7 linked regions of the Neurospora crassa OR74A genome follow. The protein of the gene in region 5 interacts with the protein of the main gene of each other region in a biochemical or structural test. Links are inferred from orthologs where the notes say so. Each region holds a gene or a part of one and is shown on either strand. Other genes may lie near its edges.

Region 1 (3,107 bases), on a different chromosome or scaffold from region 5:
TGCTTCCTTTTCCCCAGACTTTCCCGCCATTCACAGTTGAATCTTGACGTCGGATCGCCGGCCACCTTTATGGACGCAAGGCCGATGGTGGGTGACGGTATGTTAACGGGGTTGATCGACATGTTTCTTCATTGGCACTACACACACACACACACACACACACACACACACACACCATTGTCAAGATTGTTGGGATATCCCGAATTTGGATCCGAGTCAACTCTTATATGTCTGTTGAGCGGCACGGAACGCGTTCGAGATTATACGATCCAATACAAGGATGTCACCTACCTCTTGGTAGCTGATGATGCGCCGTTCTTTATCAGATGTTGCTGTTGACCATTGTGTCTGTTGTTGGTGACCGGATTTGGCTTGGAGACAAAGCAAACATGTAACACTACCCCCGAAGTGTACCTTGCGGTTGGTAAACTCGCCTTCCCATAATGAGAAGGTTGACTGGAGTTGACTCCTCCTCCCGCTGTCCCGTCATTCCCCGTCCTCAACATCTGAAGCACAACAGCCGGTCCCGAGTGACCGCCAATGAATCATTATCACATCCCTTCAGCGCATGACCATCCCCACTCCTGGCTGCTTATCATTCGCTCGCGGCCGGCAAATGCACCCCTGGCTGCTACCACCTGAGGAGGTCAGCGCTGTACGGTAAGCCTGACGTCGTGGACGATCGTCGCTACTGCGGGCGGGAACGTGACGGGAGTGCGACTTGTCTCATTCATCCCACTTTGTTCCCAACTTCGACTTTCCGACCTGAATAATCAATCAAACTATCGACACTTTGACAGATCAGCTTCAGTGCCTACCTATTCGAGTCTATTCGCGATAACCTACCCGCCATATTTGGTTGTCAGCAACGCCCAAGCTTCGCTTCCAACCCACTTCGGCCGCAGCTGGGAGACCAGACGAGAGCGACATTGCATCTCGCCACCACCCGCCGACCACGCATCCAACTGCCTACTCCCGCATTCTGCAGTCTTGACACTTGTCATCCGTTCACAACATCGAATTATACGATAACGCGACTGCTTGCGACTTCGCTTCAGATTGCCTGCGACAACTCGAAGCTAGTTACCACTTCATTCTTATCAAAAAAGGCCGAACCGAGCGCGAGTTTCTGATAGACAACATGAGTTCCCCACGCCGCCGTATCGAGACAGATGTGAGTTGCGATAGTGTTCACCTTCAGTTACGAGTCAGGGACACACGTGCTAATATGTACATTGATAACAGGTCATGAAGATGTACGAATCCCGTCCTTACAAAGCTCCAACAACCCTTTCCCAAGAGCGCACTGTTAACACGACTGATACGACAGGCTCATGAGCGACTATGAGGTTACTTTGGTGAACGATAATAGTATGGATACACCCTTTCCAACTCCCTGTAGGAAACATTCAACTTCCGGTTTCGGAGCGCTAACATGGAGAATGCAGTGTAAGATGCGACAACTAAATAATCCGAGCTGGGTTGCTGGGCTTACCTAACAATACAACAGGCAGGAATTCTATGTGAGGTTCAAAGGGCCTGCCGAAAGTTTGTCTACCCAATATCTTCCATTCCCTGTCTCACCTGTGCTCAAGTCGCCATATGTATCTCGAGGATCTTACAGTCACTAACACCAAGCCCTCCCTACAGCACCCTTTGAAGGCGGCATCTGGAAAGTCCGCGTCGAGCTACCCGATCAGTATCCATACAAGTCCCCTAGCATTGGCTTCGTGAACCGAATCTTCCATCCCAACATTGATGAGCTGTAAGTGGGGACTGATACCAAACTGATTGCACCATCCGAGGAAACAATCACGACAATACGTTGGGTGGGCTCTGGTTCGCCGGGGAGAAACAAGCAACAAATAATGGGCCACTCGCCGCAAAAGAGCAATTGGGGCTAACCAAATACGCCGCATACCAGATCCGGATCGGTTTGTCTAGACGTCATCAACCAAACATGGTCGCCAATGTTCGATATGATCAACATCTTTGAAGTATTCCTGCCTCAGCTTCTACGTTACCCGAACCCTACCGATCCTCTCAACGGTGAGGCTGCTGCGATGTTGCTCAGAGAACCCAAGACCTACGAGAACAAGGTGAAGGGTATGTCAACACATGAAAACTGCTTTGGAGTACAGAAAGGGGGGAAGCTGAAATTATTTTTGCAGAATATGTCCAGAAGTACGCGAGTAAGGACGCCGCAGACGAGGCGGACGCAGAAAGTGAAGACGACGGCGAACTATCATCCGTGGCTAGTTTTGACGAGGAAGACGACGAAGAGGCCGCCGGTAAGATGGACGACGTCTAGGTTGGTAGTCCCCCCACGAATTTGAGGGCTCTTCGAATCCTGAAGGCTCTTCAAATTTTGAAGGCATTTTAGGCCGTCTTTTCGTCACTTCGCATTTGTCAGCGGCAGGAGTTGTTTTCTCCGGGGTGTTCAAGGGCCTCTGTTTCGAACCGGCGTTGAATAAGGTATCTATGGGTTGGGACGTTTTTGGTTTGCTTAGGTCACTCGCTTTGTTTTCTCCCCTCTGCTTCTAGGACTGTTTATACACATTATCATCTCAGTGCAAATCGTTATACCATTCCGTTAGAATGCTTTGGCTTTTAGTGCGTTGCCTTTATGTGGAAAAACAACCAGCTCTTGTCAGTCTAGTGATGCTTTCCTGCTTTTCCTGCTTGAGGAGGCTCAAGGAGACTCAAGTCTAAACCATCACTGAGGCACAGTTGAATCGCAACAAAGTTTAAATATCAATCCCCAGCTAGGTGTGAAAAGTCGTCACAACAAGATCTATTACAGGGTGATCTGAGGCCCGCGCTCAATTTTTTTTTTTTTTTTTTCCAAAGTTTTTTTTTTTTCCAAAGTTTTTTTTTTTTTTTTTTTTTTTTTTTTTTTTTTTTTTTTTTTTTTTTTTTTTTCACAGTCATTTTGGCATCAGCTGGGGACAAAACCTTTATTTATGTTATTTTAAATCCTGATCCGTCGTTGCGGTCCGGTTTGACAATTGTCTATTCGAATTCAAATCCTTCCATTAACCCACCTCCCATTTACTGCCTTCCTTTCCTCCCCTTCCCTACCCATCGAGATCCCTCCTAACTTACAT
Region 2 (3,454 bases), about 480 kb from region 5:
ATGCACAGGCTGAAGCCTATGCGCCTTATAGCACCCCCCAATCTCTATCATTACCAACCACATCCTCTTGCAGAGGGCGCATCTCCCTGTCTTTTTCCTTTGTACATATCTTCCTTGGGGCGGTCGGGAAGCGGTTGTTGCGGCGCTTTGTGTCTTGTTGTTGTTGTTGTTGTTGTTCATTTGATTGTTTTTTTTTTCTGCGTTTGTATGTACACGAGAGGAAGAGGGGATCGATCTCAAAAAAATACGCGGAATGGTTTTGTTCTTTTAGAAGGAGCCAAGGTAAAGGCAAAGGCAAGGATTATTCATTCAGTCAAGGTCGCACATATGGTCAAGGTTTCAGGCGGAAGGAAAGGGAAAGAGAAAAAGAGAGCGGAGTTGCTATGAAGGGGACAAGTTCGAGATTCGAAAGCATAGCATAGCATAGGCATAGGCATAAGCATATTGCATAAGTTGAACTACGTACACTACAATTAAGCATGACTTGAATGGAGCAAAAGTGGGTAATCATTGTGACTCTTTTTTGGAGGGGGGGGATGAATGGCTCAAATCTAATTTCCCGGACTTTTCGCATTAGACATTGCTATGAGCCTCATAATAATGCCTGCTCCATCATTCAGTTGAGCCAGTGCGATGTGTTTCCTCCACTCTTCGTTCCCATGATCAATGATGTCTATCACTATTGGCCTTGTCTTGCATTGATGTCTAGCAGTTTTCAGACCAACCCAGGCGTCCAGTGATCGCCACATCCAGTTCTGGTTAAACACTTTTCCCTTCGATAACCATCTCCAGCCTAATGCTAGCCTCATCCATCAAGTCCAGTTATTTTGGTAACGAGCTTGCCACATACCCGGTCTCTTTCGATTCCTTCTAATCGTGTCGCACATATGCAGTTTAAAGAATCCTTGCCACTAACCTCCCATCCCCGTTACGCATCACGTCGCTCGCATCACAGAGACTCTGTGTCATCGCTTATGCATTTTGAACAGCTCCATCAAGTGACAAAAAGGCGTATATCTTCGAGCAGCCACCTACCACCCACGCCCCTGCCCCTACGCAGGTGGAGCAGGGCGGGACGCCGAACCCGAGCTAGCACCTCCTTGCCTACCAGCAGCGCGACCAGGATTCACAGCACCAGTAGTAGTAGCACCCGCAGGCGCACCATCCTTCTTCTCCGGAGGAGGAGGAGCCTGCACGAAATTCACCGACCCCTTTGCATACCTCTCCACATACGCCCTCGCATTCTTCTCAAACTCGGGCCGATCCCTCCGATACTCATCCGCAATGCGCTGCTCGAGCGCGTCGTCGGGCATCGGTTCGACGAGAATGTTGCGCACAGCCTCCAACACGCTGATGATCTTGCTCGCGGGCTTCCAGTTCTCGGATTTCAGCAGGCCCAGGCAGATGTTCCCCAGCGAGTCGTTGGTGATGTTGGGGTGGTAGATGCGCGTCGTGAAGTTGATGGTCGGAGGCTTGAAGGGGTAATCGGTGGGAAGCTTGAGGATGAGGCCGAAGCGACCGGGGGCGTAGACGGAGTTGGGCGGCGCCGTGACGGTGACGTGCCAGGTGTGTAGGTCGGCGTCAGAGGGGAGGGTGATGGAAATGCCAGGGGGTGGGGCGGTGGTGCAGTCTGCGAATTCCTGGACGGAGGGGGAAGAAAAATAGGGTTAGTTTCGTGGGTCTTCTATTTCATATTTTCCTTCGCCTTCTTCTTCCTCTTTAGGGATGTCGTCAGGTTCAAAAGGCAGGGCAAACGATGTGATATTTACCTTCGCGATGCGCTTCGTGGAGGCCATGGTTGCTGGTAGGTAACACACTCGACTAAACCAAGTAGTACTTGGACGGAATGTACCCAACGATGACTGATGGATGTATCGAGTGAGGAGGGATAAGAGGTAGAGATGTTCAACTTCAGATGCTGACCACCTCAAATGTATTTTGGCAGTTGTGAGACTCAAAGTGACCTAGTACAATGACCGACGGCGGTGACGTTGGTCAACAAACAAGGCGTGCATAAGCTTGTTTGCGTGCTCGTGTTGATGGCGGGGTAAGCGGACTGGGCTGGTGAGGTATTCTTTGCTTGGGGGGGAAAAAAGGGCAAAGCAGGGATGTAAAAGTGACGACGCAACGAACAGTCTCTTATAGTAGTTGCGGATATGACTGAATGTTCTTGTTGCTTGTTGACACGCTAGTAGTTGAAAGAGGATGCTGACTGATGTCCACGAAGGAGAAAGAGCGAGAGCTCCGTCGTCAAGGCTGCAGCACTCCACGCCCCACGGCAAGTGCTGCCAAGACCGGTAGGGCGGTTTACTGTGGGGCTATTTGTGGTGGCATCCAGAGCGGGGCCGTCCATGCCGCGGGTGATGCAACGCCAGCATGTTGAATGTGAATGCCTTTGGCTTGGAAAGGCCGTTACCAATCTGTGATAGGGGTCACTATAATTCGAAAGCACATCGACCGGAGCTCCCTGGAGATTCTCCGCTTCAGGAACTGCTTAGAGCTCAGGTCCATGGTATAGCGAGTATGCTCAAAATCTTGATTAGAGGATTTCAAAGGTGTCATCTCCATGTACATATAGTACTGACCGAGACGTGGACTTGGGCCATCAAGGCCCTCACCGGATTCCGGCAGGCACAAACTCTGGGCCGGATACAGGGGGTTAGGGTTTGCAGTATACTAGGTATACTTCACAGTAGCAATCACGGCGAGGAAGACCACAGTACCTCGACCATGAGATTGCAAGTATATCGTACGTCTATGAGAAGTAGAAAGCCGAGCCACACCTGAGCAATGACAAAAAGTGAAGACCAATAATTTGTTTGGGCAAGACCCGCTCTTCCTAATGATAAACTCCCGAAAAGATTTCTACTCCAGATCCAGCGTCGCCATCACCAACCTTTGGTGTGTCATATTCTGGGATTCCGTCACCGGCGCCAAAAGTCGACAAACTCGTCGAACTCGCCGGGGCTCGATGACCCTGAGCTTGAGTCGAACGGCCCTAGCCAGGGTAGAGACCCTAACCAAGGTAGAGACCCTAACCGAGGTAGAGGCCCCTAATTTCCCCTTGTCGAACTGTCATGCTCACTCTCATCATCCGTATCCTCGTCCCCAATCTCCTCCTCTTCGCCTTCGCCTTCTTCCTCATCACCTTCTTCCTCATCTGCCTCCTCCTCCTCTTCATCACCTTCTTCATCCTCTGCGTCTTCAACACCCTCTTCTTCCTCCTCCTCCTCACCCCCCTCTTCTCCTTCTTCTTCTCCCTCTGTGCCTTCCTCTACATCATCTTTATGCTCGCCTGGCCTTACATCTTCCTCAGCTTCTTCGGCCTCCTCCTCGTCCTCCTCTTCAGCTTCAACATCTTCATCGTCTTCATGATCCTCTTCGCCCTCTTCAACATCTTCCTCGCCTTCCCCATCCTCCATCTCCTCATCCACATCCACATCCTCATCTCCCT
Region 3 (3,127 bases), on a different chromosome or scaffold from region 5:
GGAGCGATGTAAGGCGGGCTCCCGCACATGGTCGAACTTTGTTTTCGTGCACCCTTGTATTCGAACATGGTGGCCATACCAAAGTCTGCGATTTTCAGGATGCCGCTCTCGGAAAGGAGGATGTTCTCGGGTTTGAGGTCGCGATGGGCAACGCCCTTTGAATGCATAAAACTGACGCCGCTGATCAGTTGCTGAAAGTAGAGGTGAGCAATATCCTCCTCCAGGCCAACATCTGCCTCAATCTTGTCGAAAAGGTCACCTCCTTCAGCATACTCCATGGCAATCCATCTCCAGATCCTGTCTTCGCCAGTAGCGAACCACTCAATCACGTTTGGATGCTGGCCAATATGTGAGTGTAGCGATACCTCCATGGCAATCTGCTTCGCCGATATCCTGCCATGTCTTACGGCATACTCCTTGTGGATGAGCTTGACGGCAAATACCGGTGACGGTGCGTCGAGGGGTATCGCCTTTTTTATTCTGAGACATTTGGTCAGTGAAAGCGCAGCAGCACGATGGGTTAGGGATCAAAGCACTCACGAGGCGTATGCTCCCCGTCCGATGGTCTTGGAGATGATGCGGAAAGGAAGATCTGAAGGAAGAGGGTCCAGCTGAGACTGTTGCATTTTGCCGTCAACAACGGACGCAATTACGATTACGAAGATTGGAGTACAAGTGAGATAGACGAAAATATGCGGGATTTCAAGAGAGTTCAAGGGTTTAAAGGAATGCGCTCCGTCGGTTCGTGCGCAGTCAGCAATCAAGTGTGTGTTTCCATCAAAAATGGTGGTTGGGTTAGTTTGTATAAGTGTTAGGCTGATGCCTGGCGCAAGCAAGTGGCGAGAGCCGCCGCCTAGAAGTATCAAACCAAAACAAAGTTCCTAAAAAGGAAAAGCGCAAATCGAGATGGAAAGGTGGAGGCAAAAAGCACTCACCATTTTGATGGACAACAGACCGGTTAATGCCAAGAGCGTGTCAGAGGAAGAGAGTCGCGTATTCAGACGTTCACCATACATATGTGAACACTGAGCTAACCTCACCTGTTCTGGCGGGTGTTGTACAAACACTATGGACACTTCACGTGCAAATGCAGGTCGCGTGTTGGTAAGGTGATGACTCCTCGTCCAGTGTCCCGGTTTGTTTGGTTGAGAAAGGGGATCCGGGAAGCGCCTTGAGGGATTGGAGCGCGAACTGCCCACTATTTCCACGCGCCGCGACTGCCCGCCTTGCGGCCTGGGAACCTGCAAAGAAGTTCATGCATGCCCTTAAATCCTTCCCCTGACAGCAACGCTCGGGCCCGTCACGGTTGCTGGGGACCTTCCCGCGGTAACCTAGTCAGCTGTGGGGTTATTGGAGGCTGGTTCGTTTCTGCAGTCGTGTAAACATTGATATTTAATATTTGCATCTCGTCAGTTCCGTCCCTCCAAGCTTGGCGTCAACTGCCAAACTACATTTGTTCTTTGCGCCTCCCATCCCCCATCTCAACCTTCATACATCTCCTAAGGTTGGCGCCGCCCCTCCTTGGTTGCAGGTACGTCGCCCTTCACCTCGCGGTTCATAAGTCTTTATTAACCTGTTGAGTTAGTACTTTTATCAACCTTCACCTCGATTATCCAACAGATATTGGTCTTCTTTGTTTTGCGATATTAGCCTCTTCGCCTGCTTTTCAGTTCGCCGACACAAACCGATTATCCTACACCAAGCATGGGAGATATCCAGAACTCTGCGCCCACTTTTGGCGCTAGGAAGAATATCGACCCCAGTCAAAATGCCGTCAAGAGGTCAGTCCACTTTTCACTGAGCTGGTGCATGTTTGATAGACAATGAATATGTTGATGTATCGGCCACTGACTGTTAATGACTGCAAACAGATTGCAGACGGAGCTTATGCAGCTAATGACATCGCCGGCGCCGGGCGTGTCTGCCTTCCCCTCTGCCGACGGCAATCTCCTTTCGTGGCGGGCTACCATCGAGGGACCTGAGGATACCCCTTATGCCGGCCTCACCTTCAAGCTTAGTTTTGAATTTCCTGCGAATTATCCTTACGCGCCGCCTACGGTGCTGTTCAGAACCCCGATCTACCATCCCAACGTGGACTTTTCTGGACGCATCTGTCTCGACATCCTCAAGGATAAGTGGACTGCTGCTTACAACACTCAGACCGTCCTTCTGAGCTTGCAATCCCTGCTTGGAGAGCCGAACAAGTAAGGACTTCACATGCTCTCTCATTCAATTTCTACGAGATCAGAGCTAACACCCATCACAGTGCTTCCCCGCTCAACGGCGAGGCGGCTGAGCTTTGGGACAAGGACCCGACCTTGTTCAAGACCAAGGTCATGGACCGTCACAGGGACATTGACGACGACTGAAGGCAAAATGCAGGAGCAGTTTAGGAGAGCATTGGGTTGGGAGAAATTGGTTTATTCTCGAGGTTGGAATCCCTGGCGTATTGGTCTCTGGAACAGGATTGCATTATCAGGGCGGGTTTGTTTAATGGGTATCCCGTTGTTGCTCGCGTCTGCTACCGGTTGCAGACTGGCTTTATGAAGTACATCAAGCATTGGTTGTAATGGACAGTATATCGTCCATAGAGCGTATCATTTTTCATGACGAAGCCCCTGCCTGACCATCTGCGACGCCCTCACACTGCGATTGTCTTCCCTCATCGTTGCTGGAGGCGGTTTGGTGGTATCGAAGGTGCCGTGTTCCATTTTACGAACCCTTTATTCGTAATGCGAAGCTAGATGCCATGCGAAAACTCCGGAAGCCCAATGCCGCCCTGAACCTGAACCGCGGTCCCTTCGTGCCAAAAATTCGTCTTGCCAGAACACCCAAATTTACTCCTCAACGACAACGGTGTGGAGACCCTTGGGGTTCTTCACGTTGACGGCCTGGACGTAGCTGTAGAGCTTCTCCTTGGCGCCCTCCTCGTCGTTACGGCGGCGCGAGATACGGACACGGAGACGGTAGGCAACGCCCTTGACACCCTGCTCCCAGACCTTCTTGTTGAGCTGGGGGTCGATGCGGACATCGGTGGTACCCTATAAATCACAGAGTCATGTCAGTCTTTGGTGTTCGTTCAAACTGACCACGCTGTGTCCCCAGCTCCAATGTCGTCCCCATAGCT
Region 4 (3,664 bases), on a different chromosome or scaffold from region 5:
GAGAAACACAAAAGTCAAGACTGTTGAATGAAGGAAAGGAACAAGAACAGGCCACCCTGAGAACATGAAGGGGAGAACGAGTATTTATTCTCTGACTGGACAAAAGAAATGTGGCCATGCAACACCATCTGCGGAGGCATAATTTCTGGACAATTTCCAAGTTTGAGGATGCGTGACAGAAGCCAAGCCCTTAAGCATCATGCACCCAACTGTGAGATACCTGCAGCCGAATACTCACGAGCACAATGAAATGAACCTTTCATGTACATTGTTAGTCTAATTACCTAGGTAGGCACTTAGTTTTGTTGATAATGTCACATTTATTGATACCATTCTCGTGGAGTGCATTGCGACGGAGGTCCGACTTGCACCTGAGAATATGCAACATGATGGATGAGCCGGATTTCATGCATAATCACCTCATATAAAACCGCTGCATTTACCCACCTCTTCCACTTGATTTAATGCCCGGATCATCATATACTCACTGCCAGTTTGTACTCTTGTGGTTGGATGACTCCGTGTCCGGCCGTCCGGGGCCGAGAGGTGCACCATTGCTTGCATATTTGGTACGCCCAAGACCTGAACCCCAAACTCGAAGCTGGCCCGAAGAACAGTTTCAACAACCATCGTGCGAATATCTGGAGCATTCCCTTTGGTTTTAGCAGAGCCTTCAGTTTTGAGAGACATGTATAACCGGTTCCCTCTTCCTTCCATATCAGCCTAGCCAAGTACTACTGTACTTGTCGGCCCCCAACCACATTTCATCCATGGTCAATACCTCTTCCACCCAAGTTTTCGATTTGGAAGAGAGTGACTCCCCGCTTCAGTACTAGTTTGGACAGGTCTTGAGCGAATCATCGCAATGTTCCAGTGTGGTCGTCGTCGTCGTCGTCGGTCGTCGTGGGCTCGTCGTTGGTCGTCGGTTGTCGGCTTTCCAGCTGCACCGGCCGGCAAGTGTTGCCGGCGGGAGTCTTCAGTCTCGGAATGAGCTCGGCCATTGCGGTGGCGGTGCACTGACGATGACGAGGTAAACCAGTGGCGCTGTCCTTTTTGGGCTCAATGATTGGTCAACTTTGGGGGGCGTCAAACCACCCCTGCCGGCATCCGATCTGAATTGCCAGCCGCCCATGCTGCCCAGGCCAACAGACATCGGCAGGCGGTCATGCAGCAAGAGCCTTGAGTGGTCGGCCACGGACAGCGCCATCGGCGGGCAGTGGGCAGAGCGCGCCGTAGGTAAGTACCTAGCCAGAGAGACCTGAGACTGCCCCTGCCGTGGGACTGGTCGGGTGGGTGGGACAACCTCACCAACCTCACTGGGCCGGGGGGACTGGCTTCCTCAGGCTCCCGTCCCGCCCGCTGGCACCTGAACGGGAACCCACCTTTGTTCGCCTGATCCTGATCCATTTCCCCCCCCTCCGCCATTCCATCCTACTCTCCTGCAACCGACTTCGACATCAACTACCAGAGTTTGCATCCCGTCACCATCTTCTCGCCTGTTGACGAAACCCACCCCAATACCGTGGTGTGACTCAGCGATATAGTGCTTTTTGCTTTCCATCTTGTAAGTCGAACAGACCGCCGTGCTCTCGTCCGCTGCCCATTCGTGATCGACTTTTTTTTCTCCCGTTTGCACGACCGACGTGCCCAGCGAGTATTATCGCAGCAGCAGCCAGCCAGCCCACCAGCCTTGATTCACTCACTGCCCACTGCCCATTCATTCCGCTTCTTTGCTCTTCCACCGCCCGCAAACGCTGACCCTGACCCTTTAAAACTTGCAGCCACACTTCGTGTCGTCAACGCAACAGCGATTACGACAACCACAACCACCTACCTTTACACAACTAATATCACACAATGGCGTTGAAGCGCATTAACAAGGAGCTCGCTGATCTCGGCCGGTACGTAAACACGAATCCCGCTAGTCCTTTGCCGTCTCGCGCGATGCCGCAAAAGCGTCATTCCGGCGCAAGGTTCAGTGGTGGGGCCGCGCTGGCGGGGTTTGCGCCGCTGCCGTCGCCGTCGCTGACCCTCGCGCCGTCTCGAACCGCTTCCGCAGACGCCAGAGATGCATTCCGTATCTGCTGTCGTCGAATATGATGCTGACGTGTTGTTGTCTGTAGCGATCCGCCCTCCTCTTGCTCTGCTGGCCCTCAGGGTGAAGATCTTGTATGGATAAGCCACCCCGCTTTTTCGATAAGCACGGCTCGACCCCCGGCATCGCGTCATGACCTTTGCCGTGGATCGAACCGCGTGGCATCTTGCTCGCGAACAGGCATACTGACATGCTCGATTGAATAGTTCCACTGGCAAGCGACCATTATGGGCCCTGCCGACTCCCCCTACACCGGCGGCGTTTTCTTCCTCAACATTCAGTTCCCTACCGACTATCCTTTTAAGCCTCCCAAAGTCAGCTTTACCACCAGAATCTACCACCCCAACATCAACTCGAACGGCAGCATCTGCCTCGACATTCTGAGGGATCAGTGGAGTCCGGCGTTGACGATCTCCAAGGGTATGTTTCTCTGTGTCCATGCTCTTCTAGCTAGCGCCCATATGGTCCTTCGGCTGCTGACAAGTGTGCAGTTCTGCTCTCCATCTGCTCGATGTTGACGGATCCCAACCCTGACGACCCGCTTGTGCCCGAGATTGCGCACGTGTACAAGACAGACCGCGCCAGGTACGAGGCGACGGCTCGCGAGTGGACCCGGAAGTATGCTATCTAGAGTAGATAATGGGATGGATTTATGGCCGACAAGCAGCGCTGGATCGTTTCTTCAACGTTTTGGCTCCTCTTTTGGAGGGGCACCCACATATTCACCATGGGAGCACGAGTGTATTGTGGTTCCGGTTCGCGTCCTATATTCCTCTAGGCCCAGAGGGAATTCCCAGCTCTCTTCAGTGCGAAAGTTGCAAATGCCATTCGAGCGGCTCGAAACAGTGGAGGATGGGGGTGTGGCACAGCAAGCGGTGTCTTTCGATGTCACGACAAGGGGCGGGGCGGAATCAGCAGGCGCAAGATGTAACCATTGCGTACCGGCACTCAAGTTTCTTTGCTCGCATCACATTATTTACAAAGGTCTGCAATACCAAGGGGTTCCAGTACAATAGCATTCTGTCTTTCCCTCTATCGTTCCTGATGTTTGGCCTGTGCTCTATCCGTGAATGACGTTCCGCTCTCCATGTGCGAGTATGGTATCGGGCAGTTTGCAACTAATGAGCCCGCTACTGACCTTGATAGGTATTCGAAGTACCTCTCAACTTTGGTCGGACGAAGTGCGCGAGACTTGTCATCTCCTTGACATGTGGTTCAAGGCCCAACAGGCTGGCCAGAGAACTAGTAGGTGACTGAGTAGCTGTCATATCTTTCATGTGGATCACGAGACAACTACTCTCATCATAGGCCATGATAGTGAATCTGTAGGTTAGGTTCTCAGGCTGGCTTTGGAAGGGCAGTCAGAGAGAATGTGAGCATATCAACAAGAAGTCGATGGTACCGGACGGCAACGACTTGCCGGCGTTGGGACCTTGTGTGCCCGGCTCATCGGGCTGACCCTCCCCGCGGTTACGCTAGTTGTGGTCATGCTGAAGAGTGACCCAGGGCATGCATGCTTCCAAGTCCTCAAACTGAACTGAGGCGATAACGGGCTGGTTTGAGAGTTCG
Region 5 (4,202 bases):
ACTTTTTTCATATATCGGAGACTTTATGCTGACGTGCTGCTTTTGTGACGGGCATAGGATGGGATGAGGCTGTATTGAAAATGAAGGTTGGCGAGAAAGCCACTTTGGATATTTCTAGGTGAGTTATTCGTGAGTGAACGATGTGTCAGGGGAAGAAATTGATACTGACGAGACAATATGTTTTAGTGATTACGGATACGGAGAGCGGTGAGTAACCTGCAGGCCTTTTTTTTTTCTTTCTTCTGAAAATCCAAAAAAATCAGTCTATATGGTGTAACACCACCCGCAGACACGATACTTCTGGCCGTGCTGATTTGGAGTTAATGCCCATGTGCTGACCCGACTTATTGCACACCAGGGGTTTTCACGGCCACATTCCTCCGAACGCAGATTTGATCTTGTGAGTTGTCTCCTGTATGCCACATATCTTGCTCCAGCTTGTCTCTACAGTCAAGGTAGCGGCGGGCAAGATAGCGTCAGCAAGGATACGAGCTAATATGTGATAGTGACGTATATCTCAAGGGTCTCCAGTAGCTGGGCGGTTCACTGATCTCGGGAAAAGGAGACGAGGTCCTTAGTTCAACGCCTCCAACGAGCCAAAGTAGGGACCGCTGGGCAAGAAACCACTGGAACTTGAAGTTCTTTTGGGAAGATAGATTTTATGTCGGTGATGGCGATGACGAAAACACAGATGGTTGGTGTTTACGTTGCGAGGAACCTTGATGGGTAAAGACGAGGAATTAATTGAATGACGGGAGGTTGAAGCGATACAGGGAAGGTTGAAGTACCCGCGCAGCTATGTTAATATGGAGAAGTACCTACAAGCGCCTCATTGAATGTGATTGGCTCACTACGATAAGAGAGCACAAGTTGCCTGCCGGATGGGCTGAGTGGCTGGTCCTTGCTTACTGTACCAAGTACGTTTTACCGCCATCGGTACATCGGGCAAGTACCTCTAGTGCATGACCGCCTCGTACCGTCTACTGCCAGGGGTGTTAGTAATGATTCGATCCTTCTATTGCTGTCCTCACGGTTCCTTCCAGGTTCATGCGCGCGTGAACCACAATACATATTGGCTTCCCTTCAGCATCAATGAGACTCTGAGTCAAGGTTTATCCGATCAGATAGGAGACAGGGCACAGCCAGTGTGAAACGAGGTTGGGTCGAGGTAGAGGTACCTAGAGGTACATAGCTAGCATAGCCACTTCCAGACGTACAACCTAGTAATAGGTGCGAGGCCGCATACGGTGAAGGCTACAGCACACTGCACTAACAGCAGTACAGCGACCTGCACGCTGCAGCGGTAGGTGCTTGGCCAACGACGGACAGTGCATCACATCACCATTCCCCGCAGTTCTCCTTGATGCTTGACAGCTGGTGGCGGGGCTGACCGAACCTCCCTCGACATCCCCGCCGCCCGACCTTCCAGATTACAGACAGCTTCCACTTCCACTTGCACTTGCACTTGCACTTGCACCTTGACATAGTACGACATAGTAGCACTTGCGCTTGATCCGTCGTCTGTTTTCCCGAGTCATTCAACTACAACATCGGCGTTTTCTTTGGACCAACATCGCCAACTTGAAGTATCACAATACCCGACCACTGCGAATCAACAACTTTAGGTTCAGTTCTCGTTCTTGTTTTTGCTCTGTTTGCGTCACGAACTTTCCACCATCTATAATCTACCGGCCCGCCCGTAATCAACAGTCGCCAAGCTGGGGAAGCGCAAAGTATCCGAAGGGGACCTACCCATCTCTCTAAAGAGAACCATGACAGTGAGTTGAAACCCCGTTTGTCTACATGAATCCTACTTGGGATGGCAGATGCTTGTTCCTGGTAGCTAGCGCCAGTCAGTCTGACACTTTCGTGATGCCCATCTCCCAGGACACTCAGAAAAACGAGGTCGACCTTGTCACCAGGATGCAAGTCGACGAATCAGTAGCCGGCACCACGGCCGAGATTGATGAGTCCCTCTACAGTCGCCAGCTCTATGTCTTGGGCCACGAGGCCATGAAGCGCATGAGCGCTTCCAACGTCCTCATCGTCGGCCTCAAGGGCCTCGGCGTCGAGATCGCCAAGAACGTGGCCCTTGCTGGCGTCAAGAGCCTCACCCTCCACGACCCCGAGCCCGCCGCCTGGGCCGACCTCTCCGCCCAGTTCTTCCTCCGCCCTGAGGATGTCGGCAAGCCTCGCGACCAGGTCACCGCTCCCCGCGTTGCTGAGCTCAATGCTTATACCCCCGTTCACATCCACCAGTCGCCAAGGTAGGTTATGAACCGGACGGGAGTGAGCTTGACAGGTTCGGTAGCTAACCGTGGCCTCTGTACAGTCTCGCCGATAACCTGTCGCAGTTTGACAAGTACCAAGTCGTCGTCCTTACGAACCAGCACACCGATCTCCAGACTATTGTCGGCGAATACTGCCACTCCAAGGGCATCTACTTTATTGCTGTCAACACACACGGTCTCTTTGGCGGCATCTTCTGTGATTTCGGCGATAACTTTACTGTCATGGACACGAACGGCGAAAACCCCGTTAACGGTATCGTGGCTGGCATCGACGAGGAGGGTCTCGTTTCTGCGCTTGACGAGACCAGGCATGGACTTGAGGATGGCGACTATGTGACCTTCTCGGAGGTTGAGGGTATGGAGGGACTCAACGGCTGCGAGCCCCGCAAGGTCACCGTCAAGGGCCCCTACACCTTCTCTATCGGCGACGTGTCGGGGCTTGGCCAGTACAAGAAGGGCGGTCTCTACCAGCAGGTCAAAATGCCCAAGACCATCGAGTTCAAGAGCATTACCAACGCGCTCAAGGATCCCGAGTTTGTCATCTCCGACTTCGCCAAGTTCGATCGCCCTCAGCAGCTTCATATTGGATTCCAGGCTCTCCACGCTTTCGCCAAGTCTCAGGGACGTCTACCAAGGCCGATGAACGACGAGGATGCGCTTGTGGTTATCGCCTCGGCTAAGGAGTTTGCCAAGCAGCAGGGTGTTGACGTCGAGTTCGACGACAAGCTTCTCAAGGAGCTCAGCTACCAGGCTACTGGTGACCTTAACCCCATGGCCGCTTTCTTCGGTGGCCTTACTGCCCAGGAAGTCCTCAAGGCTGTTTCGGGCAAGTTCCACCCCATTAAGCAGTTCATGTACTTCGATGCGCTCGAGGCTCTTCCCACCAACTCCAAGCGCACCGAGGAACTCTGTGCGCCCACTGGTAGCAGGTATGACGGCCAGATTGCGGTCTTTGGTAAGGAGTTTCAGGAGAAGATCTCGAACGTCAAGCAGTTCCTTGTTGGCGCTGGCGCCATTGGCTGTGAGATGCTCAAGAACTGGGCCATGATTGGTCTCGGAACAGGCCCTGAGGGTAAGATTACCGTTACCGATATGGACTCGATCGAGAAGTCCAACTTGAACAGACAGTTCTTGTTCCGTCCCAAGGACGTTGGTCAGATGAAGAGTGACTGCGCGGCCAAGGCCGCGCAAGCTATGAACCCTGACCTCGAAGGCCACATTGTTTCTCTCAAGGATCGCGTTAGTCCCGAGACCGAGGAGATCTTCAATGAGGAGTTCTGGCAGGGTTTGGATGGCGTCACTAACGCGCTGGACAACGTTGAGGCGAGAACGTATGTCGACAGACGGTGCGTTTTCTTCCACAAGCCTCTCCTTGAGAGTGGTACCCTCGGCACCAAGGGCAACACGCAAGTGGTGCTTCCTAGGCTCACTGAGTCCTACTCTTCCTCCCAGGATCCTCCTGAGCAGTCGTTCCCCATGTGCACTCTCAGGAGTTTCCCCAACAAGATCGAGCACACCATTGCTTGGGCTCGTGAGCTGTTCGAGAGCTCATTTGTCAAGCCTGCGGAGACCGTCAACCTCTACTTGACCCAGCCAAACTATCTCGACACTACCCTGAAGCAGAGTGGCAACGAGAAGGCGACGCTGGAGATGTTGGCGGACTTCCTAAAGCACGAGCGCCCGCTCACCTTTGAGGATTGTGTCCAATGGGCTCGCATGCTCTTCGAGAAGCAGTACAACAACGCTATTCAGCAGCTCCTTTACAACTTCCCCAAGGATTCCGTGTCCTCGACCGGTACCCCCTTCTGGTCCGGACCCAAGCGCGCCCCTGACCCGCTCAAGTTCGACCCTGAAAACCCCACCCACTTTAGCTTCCTCGAGGCTGCTACCAACCTCCATGCCTTCAACTAT
Region 6 (2,965 bases), on a different chromosome or scaffold from region 5:
CGAGTTTGGATAATGTGCTGTGGGAGGGGAGCGGGTGGAAGAAGGTGGGATTGCATGAATTGGTGGTGGCGAACAAGGTCAAGATTGTTTACATGAAGGCTATCGCAAAGTGTCATCCTGATAAGGTAAGCTTTGTCTTTCTTTTTTTTTTCTCTTCCCCTTTTTCTGTCTTCTTGGAAATTTGAAGTGAATCAGAAATATCCGGGATGGTTGCTGACGAAGATGATAACCAGATTTCGACGGATGCGTCAACCGAGGTTAGGATGATTGCTGGAACGGTATTTGCCACGCTTAATGAGGCTTGGGATAAGTTTAAGAAGGAGAATAATATGTGAGTGTAAGGGGCGGGTGGAATAGTAATGGGTTGATGAGAAACGTAGGGGGGCGGAAGGGTTAATGTTCTAAACTGCTTATTGAGATATGATACCTATATTAGAAGGAACGGGAAAGGAGTGCTAATAAACCTCAAGCTACTTGTCTGCTGTAGACATGTCTCTGTTCGAGCGGACAAGGCGAACGGAGGTCATATAGAAAACATCATCAACATGGGAATAGGAAGTTCGTCATTATTATCCTCAAAGGAAAACACCAGTGCCATGCCATGCTAATAAAAAAGTATACCTCAAACCACCACCCTTCCTCTTGTTCAAAGTGCTTAGTCACTCCGAGATTCTTTTACCACCCTTTACCACCACCACCACCACCACCACCACCACCACCCCCGTTCTCGCTCTCTATCCACGAAACCTTCTTCAACCACTTCACACAACGAACCCGCCCTTCCATTACTCTCTTCATCCTCTTTCTTCCCAACTCTCCATGCCCTTAAAGCCCCAAGCTAGCCCTCACACTAGCCTTCACCCTCGCCTCGTACTCGCTCCTCTTCTCCCTCCACATCTTGGCCGCCTCCACGTTCGCCGGACTCTCGTCGTTAGGCTCCGCCAACATGCTCATAACAGATAACAAGATTTTCTCGACGGACTGAATAGGTGACCATCTCTCCGAGGCAGTCTCGTAGTGGTTCGGGTCGTCGCCGGGTGGGTGGAGGATCGAGATGCAGACCAGACCTGAGGGGTAGACTGTTGGAGGGTTGATTTCCGTTAGCACTTTGCATGCCTGACCACCACAGATGGTGAGAAGAACCAAGTGAAGGATAAGAGAAATAAAAAAGGAAGAAGAGGAAGGAGAAGAAGAACACACCATTAGGATGGAATATATCCCCCAGAAACTTCATGGTCGGCGGCATATGCGGGTAATCGTTCGGAAACTTGAGTTCTGCGGGGAACACGCCGCCCTCAAAGGGGGTGCCTTCGGGCCCTTGGATCAGGCATTCCCAGTGCAGCAGGTCGTCTTCGGAAATGGGGCCCGCGGTGATGCCTTCGGGTGGGTTGTTGGTTAGAGCGCGGTATTCTTGGAGGAGACGACGTTGGGCTACGTTGAGAGACATTGTAGCTGTTGGTTGATGGTGGGTGTTGTTGTTATTGTTGGGGTCCTCGTGTGGTGTTGTTGTTGTTGATGATCGAGACGTGGGGCTCTCTGAGGAGAGTGCCTCGGGGGCGGTACTGTGTTATGGATATACGCTTTGGTGATCGGGATGGGAATCGCGTGGTGTCGCAAGCAGTTACTGTGGGTTGGGCATATGGTTAAGACGAAGGTAGATATGTCGTGATCTACTTCTTATCGATTGTTTGTTTTGGTTTAAGAAACGAAGTGTCGAACTGAATCGATGCATGCAGGAGAAGCGCGGAGGACACACTGGGCTGCAGCGGGGGTTGTCAGCGGCGCAGTTGCTTGACACGTCTGACGTCGGTCCGCTCGGCGGGGATTGATTTCCATGGGACGTCTCGGGACGGGAATTGGGGAAGCTGCTGCTGCTGCACCACAGGGGCCATACATGCTAGGGCCCGGGACCCTTCCAGAAGCGCCTACGACAGGTACACCAGCCGGGGGGTTCTAGCGGCCGGGTGTGCTGTTTCCCTTCCTGAGCTGCCGGCCGGCAACCTGAGAGCTAGACTACCTCTAGGGAGGTAAAAAAAAGCTCTCGGTCAACCGCAACCGGCTTCCTTGTTATCGCAATTGGCTGTTATCGCATCTGCCATTCCATCTATTCTTGTTTCGGTTTCGGAAACTCGATGGCTCGTCGTCGACTGGGAGCCACGCCGCTCTAGCTTGCCAACCTCTCACCTCGTCAGCCAGCCATGCCGCCAACGCTGGGCCTACGACGGGCTTTACAGAGCCGCGGCCGCGGTCTCGGGTTTGGCCAGCGGACAGTACCGTCGTCCGTATGTCTCTTCTGTTCCTTTGCGACTCGGCCTTCCACTTTTCCCACATCGTCACCACTCAACAAGCTCCGGGCAACGAGGGCAAAACCACAAGAAGCGCCGGCTGTTCGACCACGATACCAATCGACCGGCGCCACCCCGCTCCGGCCCTTCATAAGCACGCCCTCCGACGCCGCCGATGCCGCCCCGGCCGAACCAGAACCAATTGATCCCCGCAAAGACCTTGAGAGCGCTCTCCGCGACTTACAAACCCTCGCACCCAACCACGTCAATCTTCCGCGCCTCCAGCTCGCCCTACGCAACCTTAGCCAAGATCCCGGCCATGAATCGATACGAGTCGCATTCCTCGGCCTCACCACCGGCGACAAGCCCCAACACACTGCCAGGGAGCTGCTCCGCCTGGCACTCGCCGATCCGCTGAAATCCGCCCAAAACTGGGAAGCGCAACTCAAGGCCCACGACCCCTCCAAGCCGCTCATCGTACACATCGGCCCTCCCGAGGAGCAAGCCACGCCACTGTCGCTTGCCGCGAGCGAACATGTGATCCCCGAAATCACCGTGCCGTCGCACATCTACAACGATGCCAACCTCGAGATGATAGTCATGGAGGCCGACCAGGCAACCGTCGCGCAGGCGGGCGAGCAGCCACACACCTTTGACGAGGCTATCCTCGTGCCCGCCGT
Region 7 (3,790 bases), on a different chromosome or scaffold from region 5:
GACCAGGCAGGGGGCATCAGTCCGATTCCAGTCGATACCGTAGATTTTGGACGTGTGAGCACAAATGGTCTTGAGGGGTTCGACAGTCTTTCGGTCGTCCCAGATATGAAGCAATCGATCGTGAGCCGAAGCAATGACATGAGGGTCTTGACGACTGTATTTGACCTGCGTTGCACCGGCAAACCAGTCACAGAATGACAGAGCAGGCTGTCTCGGTCTTCTCAGATCCCAGTGATGAACATAACCGTCAACTGAGCAACTGGCTAGAAGATCTGGGTGGTGAGCGGAAAAGTTAATGTCGGTGATGGCCCGACTATGGGCTTGCAACGAGTGCTCGATGGCTCCAGAGGGCGAGTCGTCCCTCATGTTGAGGTTCCATACCAGACAGCGATGGTTTGCTGTCGAAGCCACCCAGTAGTCACGAGCTGCAAAGGGAGACCATTGAACATCGACCACCAGCCACGGGAGGCCATGGCTGCTCAGTCTTCGTGGTGGATTCCATGGCGAGTCCAGGTCTATGATGGCGAGGCCCTCGGGGGAAGCAAGAGCAACATCACGGCCCGAGGGTGAGATGGTGGCGGAGCCCACCAAGCCATCAACATGGATGGTCAGGTCGGCATCGAAGCTCTCACTGTCGAAGGCTGACTTGATTGTTTTCGCCTTCTTTGGCGGAGAGTCAAATACGGAGGGCATATTGCGGGATCAGGATTGGACGAGACGGTGCAGCATGGTGCGTATCCTCCCTCATCCCATTCTCAGTGCTGGAGTTTGACTGAAGTGGTAAACCAAGGATGAGTTGGGTTGAGTTGAGTTGACGGGACTTGACGAGACTTTATGTTGAACTAGACCAGGTCCCCCAAGGACGAATAACCTGGCATTCGTAGGGCGTCTCGGGAATGGTGAAGTCGAATGCAAACCGAAATGATCACAGGAGGTCGTCGTCGTCGATCAATGCAAAACATATCGAGAGGCGTCGATATCAGCGGAAGAAAGTGTGAAGGCCGGCAGGTTGGAAGACAACTGGACGTGGAATGGAGAAACCGTTCGACCAAGATGGAGAATCTCTCAGCTCTCTCTCTCACACACACTCTCTCTCTTCTCTTCAATTGGAAGGTCAACCTGACAACGGCGTCAACCTCGACAAGGCGCCGATGAACAGTTGGAGACACGAACGGCACCTCACTCAGCGGTGCAGTGGCAGTGACTTTGGCCAGTACACTACACTAGGTAGGAGGTACCTTCTCGATCATGTGGTCTGTGCGCTTATCGCGAGATCCCGATTAGGTAGAGGAATGGATGATGGAAGCCGATTCCATCCCATCACATGGATCCGCATGCCTCTAGCCCAGGTACCTAGGTAGGCCACCTCTGGCTGTCGCTGTCAGGGCCGTGACCGCTGTCACAGGGCATTCAGTGGTTTGGTCAGAGAGGCACGCCGCGGGTTCATTCGTCAGCGCATCCCACACACCCGACCTTCTTCCACTTTGCCTTCCAGTTCCATTCCGCGTTCCATCATCGAGAACTTCCCGTCCCGCCTTGCTCGTGAATAATTGCCCGTGTCGCAAGAGATTACCGTAGGTTCTGCCGATTTCGACTTGTCTCCAACAAGTTCACAAGGAACAGAATCGACTGCCTTGCGACGATTTTGGTCTAGCCATACCTACCTACCTACGTACCTCTACTACCGCTTTTACCACACATTCCCTAGGTTATTTACAGGCCCTTTCGCACCGTGATAGCGCAGTACACTGTTCGTTACTGTTTGCCTCGATTTGTCAACCGGAGCCTCCGAAACGCCTCTTTAAACTGCCCTCTGACATCCAGCATAACAATCGGCGATAGCCCCTCCACTTGCCCTCCTGTCTCTCCCAGCCTCAGCGACAAACATTTTCCTCACCACCATTTCTGCCACTGGCTTGTCGAGCTTCCTTTCGCACTAAACACCAACAGCAATTAATCTAATCACCATGGCGCTTCCGAAGCGGATTGTCAAAGAGACCGAAAGGCTGATGGCGGAGCCGTACGTACATACCATCCTCATCCCGAGAAGCAAACAGTCTAGACCAAAGTCCTAACTTCTCCTTCCTGATCGCAGTGTCCCGGGTATTAGTGCTGTTCCCCACGAAGACAACCTTCGCTATTTCGACGTCGAGATCCACGGCCCTTCGCAATCGCCATATGAGGGTTGGTCTTCCTTGAACCCCACGGCTGCCGTTACATTCATCTCTTACCTTCCGTGCGCCATGAGAACATACCACATGATCGCTAACAGGAGAACCAAACACCCACACAGGTGGTGTCTTCAAGCTCGAACTCTTCCTTCCCGATGACTATCCCATGACCCCTCCCAAGATCCGCTTCCTTACCAAGATCTACCACCCCAACGTCGACAAGCTGGGTCGCATCTGCCTCGACGTCCTCAAGAGTGAGTAGTCCCGAGAAAGAAAAGCCGCGATAGTTGGATACGCCAGTTCCGAAAAGCTAACACACGATACCAAACCCGACAGACAACTGGTCCCCCGCCCTCCAAATCCGCACCATCCTCCTCTCCATCCAAGCCCTCCTAGGCGCCCCCAACCCCGACGACCCGCTCGCCCCCGACGTGGCCAAGACCTGGAAGGAGAACCCCAGCGTTGCCGTCGCCACCGCCCGGGAATGGACACAGCAGTACGCCTTGCCATCCCAGTAGGGTCGGAGGCTGGCACCAGGAATCAACGAAATCCCGGGACAGGGCCTCATGGCTCACGCGCCGACATATGACCCTTATGGAGGAAACTTTGACCCATATCGGTTTGGGCCTTAGGACGGCAATTGACAGGAGCAGCTGGTTGTTCTGGTCTTGAAGCAGAGATGAATCACCAAGGCCAGCAAGTGGCTGTGGCAAAATAACAGAGAGGATCATAAAGGGAAAGCAGTGGAAGAAGTTGGTCTAGGTGTTTGTGTGAAGCACGGCGCTGGTGGTGTATCATGCACCCACCTAGGGTGCATACGGAACGCACAAAGAGAAAGCCCGTGAGAGGGGAATGAGGAAGGGAAGGCTACACGAGATAAGGAGAGACAACGAATACTGGATCGATGGACGAGGAAGGGGCACGTATGATGGGTTGAGTGAAGGATGCCATGGTGGATGCAACAGCGCCACGCGGCGCCAAGGCAGACACCAGAAGGAGGAGTTTTCGAACATAGAGAACATCCTTTCGAAGCGTTGTGTTTTCAGGTGTTGTTTTTTTCGCAGCGATAGAGTACCGGGTAGGGCTGTTCAAATACTACTTACATATCTTGCAACATGACCACTGTTCGGATTTGCGTCTGTGAGTGGGGTGGATGAGCCTTTGGATCAGATGTAGCGGTAAGCTTCAATAAACTCACGATAACACATATAAAATGAAGGGCGGTGTGGTTTATACTGAAAGACACCGGCCATCTTCACAACCAGTAAGTACGAACACGATTGATTGCTTAGCTTCTGTACAAGCGAAAACACTGATACCTGCAGTCATCTTGAATAGACACCTATAACCTGTTAATATAATCTCGAGGATTCCAGCCGGGATGCAAAGTCCAAAACTTTACTATAGAATACATAGAGTGGTTAGGTAGCCATCGGAATGGAATGGATGGTTCCAAGGGAGTTATCAGAGGGAGGGAGGTTCACAGAGGAATTTGCGACAGGAGGAATTCCATTCATGAACTAGAACCCCCAAGTTCCTTCCCTTTTTTTTTGGGATGGGTGGGAGGGATGAAAGGAGGGCCGCGGAAGAGGACTGAACAGATGGACCGACTTGGGACG

What was found.
Region 1: of the proteins of NCU04370 (region 5) and NCU10046, one has a biochemical effect on the other in vitro, tested with the Schizosaccharomyces pombe proteins (2 studies listed by BioGRID). The link is inferred for Neurospora crassa OR74A from reciprocal best matches to the Schizosaccharomyces pombe genes uba1 and ubc8.
Region 2: of the proteins of NCU04370 (region 5) and NCU04513, one has a biochemical effect on the other in vitro, tested with the Schizosaccharomyces pombe proteins (2 studies listed by BioGRID). The link is inferred for Neurospora crassa OR74A from reciprocal best matches to the Schizosaccharomyces pombe genes uba1 and ubc14.
Region 3: of the proteins of NCU04370 (region 5) and NCU08345, one has a biochemical effect on the other in vitro, tested with the Schizosaccharomyces pombe proteins (3 studies listed by BioGRID). The link is inferred for Neurospora crassa OR74A from reciprocal best matches to the Schizosaccharomyces pombe genes uba1 and ubc11.
Region 4: of the proteins of NCU04370 (region 5) and NCU02289, one has a biochemical effect on the other in vitro, tested with the Schizosaccharomyces pombe proteins (3 studies listed by BioGRID, with this or other methods). The link is inferred for Neurospora crassa OR74A from reciprocal best matches to the Schizosaccharomyces pombe genes uba1 and ubc4.
Region 6: of the proteins of NCU04370 (region 5) and NCU03623, one has a biochemical effect on the other in vitro, tested with the Schizosaccharomyces pombe proteins (2 studies listed by BioGRID, with this or other methods). The link is inferred for Neurospora crassa OR74A from reciprocal best matches to the Schizosaccharomyces pombe genes uba1 and ubc7.
Region 7: of the proteins of NCU04370 (region 5) and NCU02113, one has a biochemical effect on the other in vitro, tested with the Schizosaccharomyces pombe proteins (2 studies listed by BioGRID). The link is inferred for Neurospora crassa OR74A from reciprocal best matches to the Schizosaccharomyces pombe genes uba1 and ubc13.

What each region holds. Positions count from the first base shown.
Region 1 is NC_026506.1:3,266,913-3,270,019, forward strand, and holds NCU10046 (ubiquitin conjugating enzyme Ubc8), read left to right. Parts: upstream 1-1,348; 5' UTR 1,349-1,435; coding exon 1,436-1,449; intron 1,450-1,510; coding exon 1,511-1,548; intron 1,549-1,650; coding exon 1,651-1,765; intron 1,766-1,924; coding exon 1,925-2,106; intron 2,107-2,171; coding exon 2,172-2,311; 3' UTR 2,312-2,607; downstream 2,608-3,107. Other genes in the region: NCU10045 (pectinesterase), read right to left, coding at 3,102-3,107.
Region 2 is NC_026504.1:3,125,485-3,128,938, forward strand, and holds NCU04513 (ubiquitin conjugating enzyme Ubc14), read right to left. Parts: upstream 2,239-3,454; 5' UTR 1,797-2,238; coding exon 1,770-1,796; intron 1,641-1,769; coding exon 1,053-1,640; 3' UTR 501-1,052; downstream 1-500. Other genes in the region: NCU04512 (hypothetical protein), read right to left, coding at 3,054-3,454. UniProt on the Schizosaccharomyces pombe protein: Catalyzes the covalent attachment of ubiquitin to other proteins. Mediates the selective degradation of short-lived and abnormal proteins.
Region 3 is NC_026501.1:5,678,599-5,681,725, forward strand, and holds NCU08345 (ubiquitin-conjugating enzyme E), read left to right. Parts: upstream 1-1,273; 5' UTR 1,274-1,531; intron 1,532-1,585; 5' UTR 1,586-1,704; coding exon 1,705-1,781; intron 1,782-1,788; exon of another isoform or gene 1,789-1,871; coding exon 1,872-2,204; exon of another isoform or gene 2,205-2,266; coding exon 2,267-2,369; 3' UTR 2,370-2,627; downstream 2,628-3,127. Other genes in the region: un-1 (serine/threonine protein kinase), read right to left, coding at 1-480, 541-617, 936-1,016; NCU08344 (60S ribosomal protein L31), read right to left, coding at 2,838-3,041. UniProt on the Schizosaccharomyces pombe protein: Catalyzes the covalent attachment of ubiquitin to other proteins.
Region 4 is NC_026507.1:3,039,406-3,043,069, forward strand, and holds NCU02289 (ubiquitin-conjugating enzyme E2), read left to right. Parts: upstream 1-1,177; 5' UTR 1,178-1,564; intron 1,565-1,781; 5' UTR 1,782-1,857; coding exon 1,858-1,901; intron 1,902-2,123; coding exon 2,124-2,169; intron 2,170-2,301; coding exon 2,302-2,515; intron 2,516-2,586; coding exon 2,587-2,726; 3' UTR 2,727-3,164; downstream 3,165-3,664. UniProt on the Schizosaccharomyces pombe protein: E2 ubiquitin-conjugating enzyme that catalyzes the covalent attachment of ubiquitin to other proteins. Mediates the selective degradation of short-lived and abnormal proteins. Mediates ubiquitination of pex5.
Region 5 is NC_026504.1:3,604,205-3,608,406, forward strand, and holds the start of NCU04370 (ubiquitin-activating enzyme E1 1), read left to right. Parts: upstream 1-1,402; 5' UTR 1,403-1,772; coding exon 1,773-1,778; intron 1,779-1,887; coding exon 1,888-2,267; intron 2,268-2,332; coding exon 2,333-4,202. Other genes in the region: peptidyl-prolyl cis-trans isomerase fkr-3, read left to right, coding at 58-118, 187-207, 359-400, 507-534.
Region 6 is NC_026505.1:1,883,387-1,886,351, forward strand, and holds NCU03623 (ubiquitin-conjugating enzyme E), read right to left. Parts: upstream 1,834-2,965; 5' UTR 1,448-1,833; coding exon 1,201-1,447; intron 1,080-1,200; coding exon 826-1,079; 3' UTR 501-825; downstream 1-500. Other genes in the region: NCU03622 (UBA/TS-N domain-containing protein), read left to right, coding at 1-125, 234-335; NCU03624 (hypothetical protein), read left to right, coding at 2,199-2,965. UniProt on the Schizosaccharomyces pombe protein: Catalyzes the covalent attachment of ubiquitin to other proteins. Functions in degradation of misfolded or regulated proteins localized in the endoplasmic reticulum (ER) lumen or membrane via the ubiquitin-proteasome system.
Region 7 is NC_026501.1:1,237,598-1,241,387, reverse strand, and holds NCU02113 (ubiquitin-conjugating enzyme E2 13), read left to right. Parts: upstream 1-1,416; 5' UTR 1,417-1,967; coding exon 1,968-2,020; intron 2,021-2,095; coding exon 2,096-2,184; intron 2,185-2,293; coding exon 2,294-2,425; intron 2,426-2,507; coding exon 2,508-2,689; 3' UTR 2,690-3,290; downstream 3,291-3,790. Other genes in the region: NCU02112 (hypothetical protein), read right to left, coding at 1-693. UniProt on the Schizosaccharomyces pombe protein: Has a role in the DNA error-free postreplication repair (PRR) pathway. The ubc13/spm2 heterodimer catalyzes the synthesis of non-canonical poly-ubiquitin chains that are linked through 'Lys-63'.